Coturnix japonica: one gene and its partners. The protein of the gene in region 2 interacts with the protein of the main gene of each other region in a biochemical or structural test. Links are inferred from orthologs where the notes say so. Each region holds a gene or a part of one and is shown on either strand. Other genes may lie near its edges.

Region 1 (3,993 bases), on a different chromosome or scaffold from region 2:
TGTGTGTGTCTCAGGTGCAGTAACTGGCACAACCAGTATGAGTAAAGCAAAAGCAACTGCCAGCACCAGGACTGCTGATCACAGCATATATCTGGTATTGGCAAGCCAAAGTGCTTCAGCATTACTGTCAAACCCCATGAGGAAATATATCTGCAGAGGAATGTAATTTGATAGCAAACTTTCAGCTTGGCTGGCTGTTGATAACTCTACCCTGCAAATGACCAAGGAAACAGATGGGTAGAGAGGCCTGTGTGGGTGTGAGGGGAGGAATGGAGTATCTGAAGGATGACAGCAGAAGCACACCTGCCTTTGGGATGACTCGAGGGTAGTGAGTATGAAACCAATGAACACGAGCTCTGACAAAAAGGACTTGCAGGTACTGGTACATGGCAAGCTGGATATGAGCCAGCAGTGTGCTCCTGCAACCCAGAAAGCCATCTGTACCCTGGGCTGCATCAAAATCAGCACAGCCAGCAAGTCGAGGAAGGTGATTCTGCTCCTTTATTCTGCACTGGTGAGACCTCACCTGGAGTACTGCATCCAGATGCGGAGGAGAGACGTGGATCTGTTGGGAGTGCAACTAGAGGAGGGACACAGAAACGACCCAAGGAGTGGAACACCTCTCCTATGAGGACAGGGTGAGAGCTGGGGCTACACACAGACGCTGTAGCAGACTGCAGCCTCGAACACGATGTAACAAACAATCAATGAGCGGATTAAAGCTTCCGTGTCCTTGTTTCTTACAGCAGCTGAACCTTTATTCGCGGTGTTGGCCAAGCAGCTCCTCCCATTCTCCGAAGCTCCCTCGGTGTCCGCCCATCCCGCCGTGCTATGGCAGCCGAGGCACCGATAGTTCGCTCTGCAGCTGCCGTCGCGCCGCCTCCCGCGCCCCGTACAGCACGTAGCCCCAGGAAAGCAACACCAAAGCGGCCAGCACCTACGAAACCAACAGTCAGCACCAGCCTCAAGCTGCCTACCCCAGAGCTGCCTATCCCAGACCCTCGCCCCCCACCCCACGCACCAGGCGGTAAAGCGGGCGCGGATCCCGCCGCTCCTGAGGCAACATGGCGGGCAGCCGGCCGGAAGTCCACTACCCGCTGCTTCCGCACGGCACTACGGTATCATCAGGTAGAGCGGAAGTGACGTATAAAACCATCGACCGGTGTTGTGACGTCATATGGCGCCGCCCCGCTGCCGGGGGGTGGGGGGGGGACAGTTCCCTTGGCAACGCCACTTCCGCCGGCGATGTCGGAGGCTCCGCTTGGCGTGGCGAAGGCCGCGCGGCAACGCCGCCATCCCGCGGGGGACGAGCGGCGGGACGGGGCCAACAACGTGTGCAGCCGGTCACGGCACGGGCTGAAGGCACCATCGGGCCGGACTCGAGCTCGGAGCGAGGGCTCGGCAGAGGTGAGCAACCGCGGTTGTCGGCCCAGCGGAAGGAACGGGGTGGGCCTGGGTGGAGGAGCGTGTCCGTGTGGTCTGTGGGCACCGCGATCAGGGGGTGCTGTGGGGACTTGGGGAATCAAACTATAGCCCGACAGATAGAGAGCAGGTGTGGTTAATGCGCATATGGGGCATCGCTCCTCCTAACTTGCACAGCGTAGGACAAAAGCTTGGTACAGATATAGGCAGAGTTAATACATAATTAATAATTTTCCCGGAACCACAGAATCACAGAATTATCAAGGTTGGAAAAGACCTAGAAGATCATCTAGTCCAACCATTACCAATATTTCCCGGCTAAATTCGTATACTTATTCATTATTTTTCCCAAAAAATCTCTTAGCATACGGTCCCTCCCTCTTGCGCATGCGTCATGAGCAGTTGGGGGTCTCCTGGTGGTTGGTAGATGAAGGCTCATCGTCTTCCTGGTGAAGGCTTGTAGTCTATCACGCTATAAACTTCTAACCCTGTAGGGGAGAAGCCCTTGAGCCAGTTCTAACTTGCTTTGTCCATTGGTCACTTACACACTAAATGTTCTCAGAACACTTCCCTTTATGTCCTCCACCCCCCCTCCCCCCACTGTCCTAATCCCAGCTTGTTGCCATCCCCGTTCTTACAGCAGCCTCCATATATTTGCTTCTGTAAACTGTTTTTACCCTTCATTTCTGTGAACCATCTTTTACTCTTCAGGAAGCAGCGCAGGCATTTGTCTGCAGTACTGGTCCCCCACATAGCTTCAGACTAGGTGGATTAATGCTCAGTACTGCCGACAGCCTGGGGGAACAAAGGGGCTGTGGGTCTAAGGGTGGGTGCAGGGGTGACACCTGGCTGCAATATCATCCAAGCAAGAACACTTCTGTGCATTCCTGGACCACTCTTCTGGTCCAGCAATACGTACAGGGTGCACTCAGCGCTGCTGGACCAGCTAAATGCAAAGTGTTTTCAAAAGATAATTAACTTCTCCCATATTTCATATCTTAAGTGCTGGTTTCTTTTGGTAGTGTGCTTTGGAGGATTCTGTGTGAATCCTAATCTTACTGATTGTGCCAAAGTGGTGAGTAGGGGGAAGACACCAGCATTTATAGGCTCCATTTAAAGATGGCTGCACTGGAAAGCCTGATTTTTTTAAAGTGAAGAGAAGCAAGCAAAGCAGTTAAGTTGTACTGCTTCTCTGTTTCGTGTTCTCTCACAACTAATGCTGGCGTTTTTAACCTTATAGCTGACCGTTGCATGTTTCTGTGTATAGACTTAAACGCTTCTTTCTCTCAGGAAGAGTAATGATCTTTTTGTCTCTTTCTTTTGCAGAACACAACTAATGCAGCCAAGGAGTTTCCAGAAGACAGCAGCTTTTTGCCAAAAGCTAGCAACAGCAAGCTGCACCAGACCATGCCAACAGATGCCTCTCCTGACTCTAAGTGCCCCATTTGCTTGGACAGATTTGACAACGTTGCCTATCTAGATCGTTGCTTGCACAGATTCTGCTTCCGTTGTGTTCAGGAGTGGTCAAAAAACAAAGCAGAATGCCCACTCTGCAAACAGCCTTTCTTTTCTATTTTCCATACAGTTCGTGCTGAAGATGATTTTAAGGAATACATACTCAGACCTTCAGAAAATGGTTCTTTTGCCAGCCCTGATGGCCGGAGATTTCGTTACCGTACCACCTTAACGAGGGAACGCCGCACCTCCTCTTACCATAGAGGCAGTTCCTCTTCTCGAAGGACGCTGTCCCCTCCAGATAATGGGATTTTGTTTGAAGGGTTGTCCAGCCAACCTGTGCGGCAGAGAGATGGAGAGATTCAGCAGATGATAAGGAGGCTGGCCTCACGTAGGCAGGCTAGTGCAGAGGGCAGATCTCTGCGGCAGATCCAAGAGGAGGACATGATAAACTTCCGCAGAGCCCTGTACCGCACTGGTGTGCGTGTTCGTAGCATTCAGGATGGTGGCCGCTATCGAGACATTTCCGCAGAGTTTTTCCGCCACAACCCTGCTTGCCTACACAGGTTGGTTCCCTGGCTGAAGCGAGAGCTTACAGTCTTGTTTGGTGCCCATGGTTCTTTAGTTAATATTGTACAACACATCATCATGAGTAACGTGACCAGGTATGATCTGGAAAGCCAGGCTTTTGCTGATGATTTAAAGCCATTTCTACTGAATCGGACTGAACACTTCCTACATGAATTCATCAGTTTTGCCCGATGTCCTTTTAACTTAGAGGCATACGATCAGCATGCCAATTATGACTGTCCTGCGCCATCGTATGATGAAGGAAGCCGCTCAGACTCATCAATTATTACAATCTCTCCAGATGAGGCAGATCTTCAAGGGCCAGAACACAGTTCATCCGTGTCTGGGGTTGGTCAGGCCCCTTGGGACGATGAAACTCCAGGGCCTTCATATTCCATTTCAGAAGAGGTTCGTGCCACTGCAGCTTCTCCTCTGGAGATGTCAGAAAGTTCTGATGAGGATTCTGCTAGGAAAAGAACCACACTGCATCCTCAGTTACAGGCTGGTGTTGACTCCAATGAGAGTGACTCTTCATCAGACAACTGT
Region 2 (3,511 bases):
AAAAGATGACTGTGAGTTGACAGACTTTGAGAAGCCATCCCTAACACGTTTGGCTCTGTGGGAGCACTGTGGTGATATAAGCACGCTCTGTAGAATGGGATAGGCATGTTTCTACCTGCTGGGAACCAAAACCTCCACAGTGAAGAAAAGTTCTATGACCATTCGTGGTGCTTGATACTAGTCTAATACTTACCAGTTCTTTGTTCACTTTTCTTGTGGCTTCAGTGATGTTTTGGCCATTGGGTATCAGGTCCAAGTACATGAGCTATGCTTCTGCTGTGAGCTGTATCATCATCATCAGCGTGTCCAGAGATGTCCGTACTGTAGTCAATTCTAATTCTGTTTTCTCCTTTCTGCTTCCTTAGACCAGTATCTTAAATAAACATCTTCAAGACCTTATGGAGGGACTGACAGCCAAGGTATTCCGTACTTACAATGCCTCCATCACGCTACAGCAGCAGCTCAAGGAGCTCACTAACCGTAAGTCCTGTCCTTGCAGCTTTGAGGGGGACAGTTCCCATCCTGCAGAACAGGCATGACTTAACCTCCCAGCTGCCTGCCACTCCCTGGTTGCTGCTCTCCTAGTGTGGGAATGGTTGAACAGCCCAGTGCTGAGGCAGCGCAGGGCTCATCTGTGAGCACACTACAGTTTGCCTGCTAGGTTGTGCCTGGCCCTTACCAAATCTCCACTTGTTTCCTGTTAACTGTAAAATGCCATAGGTGACAGGCAGTCTCTATAAACAACCCCATGGTTCTTGGCTGCTCACTCAGACACACTGAGAGCTGCGAGCTTACACTTCAATGACTTTACAAAGTGGACATGTTGGAGGAAACTGAAGCCCAACAGTGCCTCGAGCAGTACTCCACTATTGAGCATGGTTATGCTTCCCTTATCTCTTGAGAGACAAATGTTGTCTTTGTTGCTGTTGAAAGAGTTAAGGTTTGGAATGGAAGTGTTCAGGCTTTTAGCACTTCGATTAGAATGTAGTGTTGAGACTGTCCCATCAGAGGGCAAGGTCATTCCTGCATTGATTTTGAGCTTGTGGAGTTGTTGGGAAGTGCTGATAGGGGCTGCTGAGTCCTGTAGGACATGAGTTGTTCACCACTTTCTTTTACTTTGCAGCGGATGATAACATCCCAGCGAAGATCCTTTCCTATAACCGTGCCAACAGAGCGGTTGCCATTTTGTGTAACCACCAGAGGGCTCCACCGAAGACCTTTGAGAAGTCCATGATGAACCTGCAGAGCAAGGTACCCCCCAACCCTTGGGTTGGGGCAGGGCTCCAAGTGTTGTGTCCCAGGAGTTATGTTTCCTTTCACTTGAGGTGAAATGGAAGCAGAGCCTGTGTTTCCCTGTCAGGAGTTGGTTAGTGCTCCATCAGGTGGGCCTGCTTGGAGAGGCAGACTCCAGAAGCACAGTGTTGTGCTGAAAGGGCCACCTTTGAGCTCTAGTACCCTTACATTTGTAAAGACCATGACCAGACCCTTTTATTCCATTGCTTATCTGATATTGAGTTCTGCTGCCATCAAAATTTTAGAGCAGCAGCCTAGTTCTGATTTGTATCCCCTGAAGAACCCAGAGTGGGCACTTACTCCAGTTGTGTGAATCCCAGGCCACTGTCAGTGCAGGCTGCATATGTGACACATTGTACCCCTCTGACTTGACCTCTTCCTTCGCAAATTGTTTCTGGTGGAGGTTGTGAGGTCCAAAGGGGATAGGTCTGCTTCTGGTCTGTCTTTAGAATAACCTTCACAGTCAGGACTTCTGGTTTGCACTGCAGTGACCCCTGCTTCTGTAACACCTAACATGGCTGCCTTCACCCTAGATCTTAGAGCCGGGGGAATGTTTAAGGGGGATTGGCTGAAGGGGCTGCATAATGCTGAATCTCCCCAAATCCTAATTTTACCAGTGGAGAACTGCTTGAAGCCGTAATACTTTTCAGCCTGAAAGATTTGGGGGCAACAACAGATCCCTGTGGAGGGAAAAGGGATCATTCTTCCATGGTACTTTCAGAACTGGTACTGGTGGGATACATTCAAGATAGACAAGCTGCCTAGATGGGCTGTTGGCAGGTCCCTTTGCCTGCTTCATTGTAGCTTTATTAGAAGGCTTCCAGGAGCTTTCTGCCAGCACGCCACCTTGTCTTTGGCAATGACTGGAACCCTGTTTTCCAAGGGGAAGTTCTCACATCTATAGCATTTGCAGTAAACTGAAAAGCTAGTGGCCTTGTTGTTCTGCAGAAGTGCACCTGAGTGCTGATAAATTCTGAACTTGGTCACAAACTCACTCCTTTGGTCCTGCTGCCCAGGGGTGACTGCCACAGTTGTCTGCAGCTTGTTGACAGTGCCGCCCTCTGGTTTTGCCTCTCCTAGATCGATGCCAAGAAGGAGCAGTTAGCTGATGCCAGGAGAGAACTGAAAAGCGCCAAAGCTGATGCCAAGGTCCGGAGGGATGAGAAGTCTAAAAAGTAAGGCTGGTACTACTAGGCTGTGCAATGCTCCCAGTACCTCGAGCTCAAATTGGGTGCTTCAGCCCTCTGTTCTGTTTCCCCAGCCTGTGATCCAATTGATTTGGGAAGACTTTCTCAAGCTTTCTTATCCCCTCTTTCTTCTGTGCATGAAGAAATGGCCTTCAAGCCGTCTGTGCTCTGCAGAGTAGTCACAGGGCTGCTGGGTTAAGGGAGCTCTGAAGGCAGAATCACAACATGACTATTACAGAGGGATAGGTGGGTTGGTTTTAAAGTGGGTGTAGCATCAGTGTAGTTGAGGCTGTTGCTTCCAACCCTTTAAAACAAAACTACTGCTTAGGATTTCTGTGCTGCATCTTTCAAAATGTCAGTTCTTAATTGCATGTGCTGAGTGTTTTGTGTCACCATCTCTGCTGACACAACTGCCTTTTGAGGCTGGTGGCATTGCTTACATGGAGCAGAGTCCCTTTGCCTTCCCACAGCACTGCTGTCTGAAGCCCAGCAGGGCATTAGGCATTAACTGTTTTTTCCTCCCTCACCCCCAGGGCAGTGGAGAGCAAGAAGAAAGCAGTACAGAGGATTGAGGAGCAGCTGATGAAGTTGGAGGTTCAGGCTACAGATAGGGAGGAGAACAAGCAGATCGCCTTGAGCACCTCCAAACTCAACTATCTGGATCCTAGGATCTCTGTTGCTTGGTAAGTGTCTGGGCTGTGCAGAACTGCTCCTTCACGTGCGTGTAATCCTACAGTCTGTAGGCAAGGGCTGTGGATGCGAGCAGCGCCCTTGTGCTGCCGAGGAGGTCTGCCTCTTTATGGCCTTCCCTTCTGTCTTCATGTGGTTTCAGTGGATCTCTTGGGCCAGGTTCCACGTGCCAGTCATGGCCAGCTCTATGCTGAGAGGGGATGGGTCAGAACGTGCAGGGTGCAGCAATGGGAGGCTGGTCCTGCTCCTGTAATGGAGCTGCACCACGAGAGCCCGTGCTGGGCTGACACTTAACAGCATCTCTTTTCCTGCAGGTGTAAGAAGTGGGGAATTCCTATAGA
Region 3 (4,245 bases), on a different chromosome or scaffold from region 2:
GGGGAGATTTGCAATTGATGGATTGCAGGTGGAAATGCAGATATTTTTTGAGATGAAACAGCTGGTGTATGGGGTGAGCTGTTGTGCTTCACCCAATCAGTGATGGGGGGCAAAGAATTGGGGGTATAAGCAGAGGGATGGATGGGGGACTGTGTTTTTACAGGCACTCATCATATCTTGCTTTCTGCCCCCAAAACAGTGCCCTGTTTGATCACTGTTAGAAGCTTTGAGGATGTTTAGTTTGTAGGGCTTTTTGTTTCTCTGGCTAAAAGCCTGGCACTGAGAAAGGGTGGTGATGCAATGAGAGGGTGCTGAGCATCGCCTGGGATTCTTTGCTGCAGATTGAGCCTAGTAAAAGCTTCGGGGATTTATTATTGATAATAGTAATAATAATAATAGCAATAATAATAGTAATAATAATTATAATCTGGATCTTTAATTTTTGATCATTTCTGATTTCTTTGGCTAAAACTCTCACGATGACAGAGGCTGGAACTGCACAAGAGGACACTCGAAGTCGACATCTCTGAATCAACATGGCCAAGGGCACCATGGCATGAGGGGGGTGGGCTAAAAAACACACCATGCACAGCTCTCACCACACAGCAGGGCTCCAGTAACAGAGGCAGGGCAGGCAGCGAGCAGCCCCATGTAGTGCCAGCAGTGGGGCTGGGGGTAGAATAGATGCTTTATGAGTGGTCCCAACCTCCAGGCTGGAGCCCCCCGCTCTCCTCTTGGTCTTGTAGCGGCGGTTCTGGAACCAGATCTTCACCTGTGTCTCACTCAGCTGCAGGTTCTGGGCCAGGTGGGCACGTTCAGGGGCTGACAGGTACTTCTGGCGGCTGAAGTTCCTCTCCAGCTCCAACACTTGGCTGTGGGTGAAGGCTGCCCGTGAGCGCTTTGCTGGCCGGGGGGGTCTGGGCAGCACCTTCTGGGGTGGATCATGGCTGCATGGGGAGTTATCAGCATCTGTAAGGGGAGAGGGCTGAGCATCACACACTGAGAACTGCCCCAAACTCTGGGTTATTTGGGTTTTCATCACCCAAATCACTTTTTCTCTCAGTATTTTCACCATCCAGACTGCCTATTTCCTCACTTCTTTCTTTCTTATCCTCTCCATAGAGTGAAGCATTCAGAAGCCACTTTCCTCCTTGCTTTCTAGTTGCCCAGACCCCTTATCTCCTTACTTTTGCTCACCCAAATCATTTGTTTCCTCCATTTTCATCACCCAAGTCACTTGTTCTGTCATTACTCACATTTCTCCTTTTCCATTCACTTCCACAGAGCAAAATATTCACAAATCACGTTTTCTCCTTGCTTTTCATCACCCACATCACTTATTTCCTCTGTTTTCATCGCCCCAATCACTTGTTTTCTCATTTTCCCATCACCCAAACCTCTGATTTCCCTACTTATTTTTCCCCTTTCCTACCCCTTCCTATAGAGCAAAACCTCCCCACCACCCTGGAGATCCTCCAACACAGTGATTTCTCTGCTTGATAGACTTAATCTCATCCAAGGGAGCTATTTTCTCCCAAACAACCCCCTCTTTTAGCTCCTACAAGGAAAAAGCAACCCCCAAAAGGGCCATTTTTCATTGCTGGTGACATCTCGAGGCTCTGCTGTTGCATACAAGGTGCCATTGGGATTTTTACAGCATCACCTGTAAGCTGTGCAAACCTCTCCAGCCCTTTATTCACTTTTATATAGGAGCTTCTATTAACAGAAGCGACACAGAGAGCCCAGATTCCCCTTGCAAGGTCTCTCTTAGCAAGCTCAGCTTTGCTTATTGGATGTTGCAGCTCAGCTGCTCCCATTGCACAGCTCAAAGCTGCACTGCATCTGAGTTTTAATGCAATTGCATGCGATTTGCAGCACGCTGCTTCTGCAGGTTTAGCCACTGCATGCTAAAAGGAGGTGCTGCTGGGGTTGTTTCTATAGGAGTAAGGCTGATGTGCATAACACGCATTATATGCAATGCAATAGGTAGGAGCAGAGCGTTGCAACTGGTGCTGAGAACCAGCATATACACATAGTCTGCAGTGCAACAGGCAGGAGCAAAGCATTGCAGCTGGTGCTGAGCATGCAGGAAAACAAGCAGCAAGTGCAACAGTGAGCTGCAATCAATGCACTGTAAGTACAGCAGCAGCAGCACCCAACAGCTGCACCAAGGGTTGCATTTGCATTAAAAGGAATCTTAAGCTTGCTATTGCAGAAATGCATCCTCTAGGCTTTTTAATAACCAAAGTTGGAGGTTGCTCCTGTGCTTTGAGTTAGCTGAATTGCCTGCAGAATGCTTTGCATGCAGTTGCTGTTGCTCTCAATGCTCCTTGCATTTGAAGCCTGAGTAACTTGGGAATGCATGGGTTGTTTAGGTCAGAGGAATTCAAAGCTGAACCCTCATCCTGCTCTAAGGGTAAGTATCCCACAACACCCCCCCCTTACCTTCATTCACATCGTGGGGCTGTGCTGGGGACACTCCAGGGCCATCCTGCTGCTCTCCATCCTCTGGTATCCCACCTTGATCCATCTGTGCCCCATTTTCAACCCCATCCCATAGGATGTCCTGGATGAGGAAGGACGTCCGAGGTCTGGACGAGGTCTGCTGGGGGCTGCTGGAGGCTCTGTGCCCCCCAGGGCTCAGCACCCCAGTGCTCATCCTCTTCCTCCTCCAGCTGCCTGCAGGCTCAGTGCCTCCCCACCCTCCAGCTCAGCATTTATTGGGCCCATGGCCAAACCTCCAGGGCCTGATTGGAGACTGGGACGTGTCTACACCCTTTGCTGGTGTCCCAGCATTGCAGGATTTCTGCTGAAGCACAGCAAATCCCTTCTGCTGCCTTGCTCAGGACACCCATCCCCATTGAACCCTGCTGGGGTAACCCCATGGCTTTTATTCTCCTCTTAATTCTAAGAGCAAGATACCCAAAGGGTGTTCATCTTTTTGGGGTAAAAGCAGGGTTTGGGAGGTGTCAAAATAGGGTTGTTAGGATATGATGGTGCCACTTTGGATGGGTGCTGTGGGTGAGCAGAGCACCTTTTGCATCTCGACCCTAATCCCAGTGGGATGATGATCTGAATGCTGCACTTCTGGATGTGATTTATATCCAGGGCAATCCCTAGAGCTCAATGGGGAATGCAGACCCCAGTGGGGGTGAAATCAACCCCAAACCCCAGACTGATTCCCCACTGTTGTAGACCATGAGTTGCAGAGCAATACTGATGTGAAATCAATATAATGATGGTAATGCTCAGAGTAATTAAAACAAACAACCAAACAAGCAAACAACAGAGCAAAAAGCTCAAGAACAAAAACTCAATAGGTTTGCAGAATATTGTGTCATGAGGTTATGTGTTATTATATTGCATTCTGATGTAGGGCAGCCCTGGGTGAAGTAGGGAGTTGGACTCAATGAGCTTTGGGGTCCCTTCCAACATGGGTTGTTCTATGCCATGATGGTGTGATATTGCAGAACATGCATCTTTCCATTTGAAAACACATGAATGAAACCTGGGAACCACCCAGAATTTGGGCAATATCCCACTTTCCAGCAAGTCCTTTTATTCCAGTGATGCTCATTGCATTTTCCTGCAGCTGGACCATAAATCTCTGTGATGTTGGAGCTGCCCGTGTGCTCAACTCATCTGTCCATAGGTCTGTCCTCAATGCATGGCTCAGTCCTCTTTTCCTTTCAATGCTGACTGCAGAATAACCCATAACATTGGTCCAAAAGCATTGGTTTGGGGTTTTTCAGCTCCGGGGACCCCCTCATGGCCATTTATTGCATTACATTTTGACTGATTTGGGTTTTGTGGGAAGAGATCTGCCTCATTTTGAGGTGGGCAGTTTCTAATTTGGGCTGTGCCTGTAAGTCATTAAGAAATACGAATATCCCAAAAGACGAGAAGAACTCAAAGCCTTAAATAGAGTGCTCATGGAAAAGCAAAGGCGCAGTGGTGTGCATAGACCCTGTTCCCTTAGCAAGAAAAGCAGCATCTGATCCTTATGCATCCCACAGGGGCATCCCTATGGGGTGGGATGGGCTCCATGATTATGTCCTAATAAATAAACGTCCCTGGCACTGGGGTCCCCAAATCCTCAGCACCAAAAGTTCCTTTCCTTGGGCTGGATGGTGAGGATGGATGTGCCACATCCTGCTGTCCATTACGGCTTTGGATGCCCCCATCCCTTTCCTGGGCCACATCCCAAATGGTGCTGAGCCCAAGCTCATGGTGTGAGCACCCCAG

Evidence for each region.
Region 1: of the proteins of TOP1 (region 2) and TOPORS, one has a biochemical effect on the other in vitro, tested with the Homo sapiens proteins (2 studies listed by BioGRID). The link is inferred for Coturnix japonica from reciprocal best matches to the Homo sapiens genes TOP1 and TOPORS.
Region 3: the proteins of TOP1 (region 2) and NKX3-1 form a complex in vitro, tested with the Homo sapiens proteins (2 studies listed by BioGRID and IntAct). The link is inferred for Coturnix japonica from reciprocal best matches to the Homo sapiens genes TOP1 and NKX3-1.

Annotation. Positions count from the first base shown.
Region 1 is NC_029547.1:59,568,153-59,572,145, forward strand, and holds the start of TOPORS (E3 ubiquitin-protein ligase Topors), read left to right. Parts: upstream 1-1,193; 5' UTR 1,194-1,245; coding exon 1,246-1,407; intron 1,408-2,748; coding exon 2,749-3,993. UniProt on the Homo sapiens protein: Functions as an E3 ubiquitin-protein ligase and as an E3 SUMO1-protein ligase. Probable tumor suppressor involved in cell growth, cell proliferation and apoptosis that regulates p53/TP53 stability through ubiquitin-dependent degradation.
Region 2 is NC_029535.1:4,190,323-4,193,833, forward strand, and holds part of TOP1 (DNA topoisomerase 1), read left to right. Parts: intron 1-365; coding exon 366-480; intron 481-1,123; coding exon 1,124-1,251; intron 1,252-2,373; coding exon 2,374-2,468; intron 2,469-3,013; coding exon 3,014-3,163; intron 3,164-3,484; coding exon 3,485-3,511. UniProt on the Homo sapiens protein: Releases the supercoiling and torsional tension of DNA introduced during the DNA replication and transcription by transiently cleaving and rejoining one strand of the DNA duplex.
Region 3 is NC_029537.1:2,308,696-2,312,940, reverse strand, and holds the start of NKX3-1 (homeobox protein Nkx-3.1), read right to left. Parts: upstream 2,801-4,245; 5' UTR 2,660-2,800; coding exon 2,446-2,659; intron 970-2,445; coding exon 596-969; 3' UTR 1-595. Other genes in the region: NKX2-6 (homeobox protein Nkx-2.6), read right to left, coding at 4,226-4,245.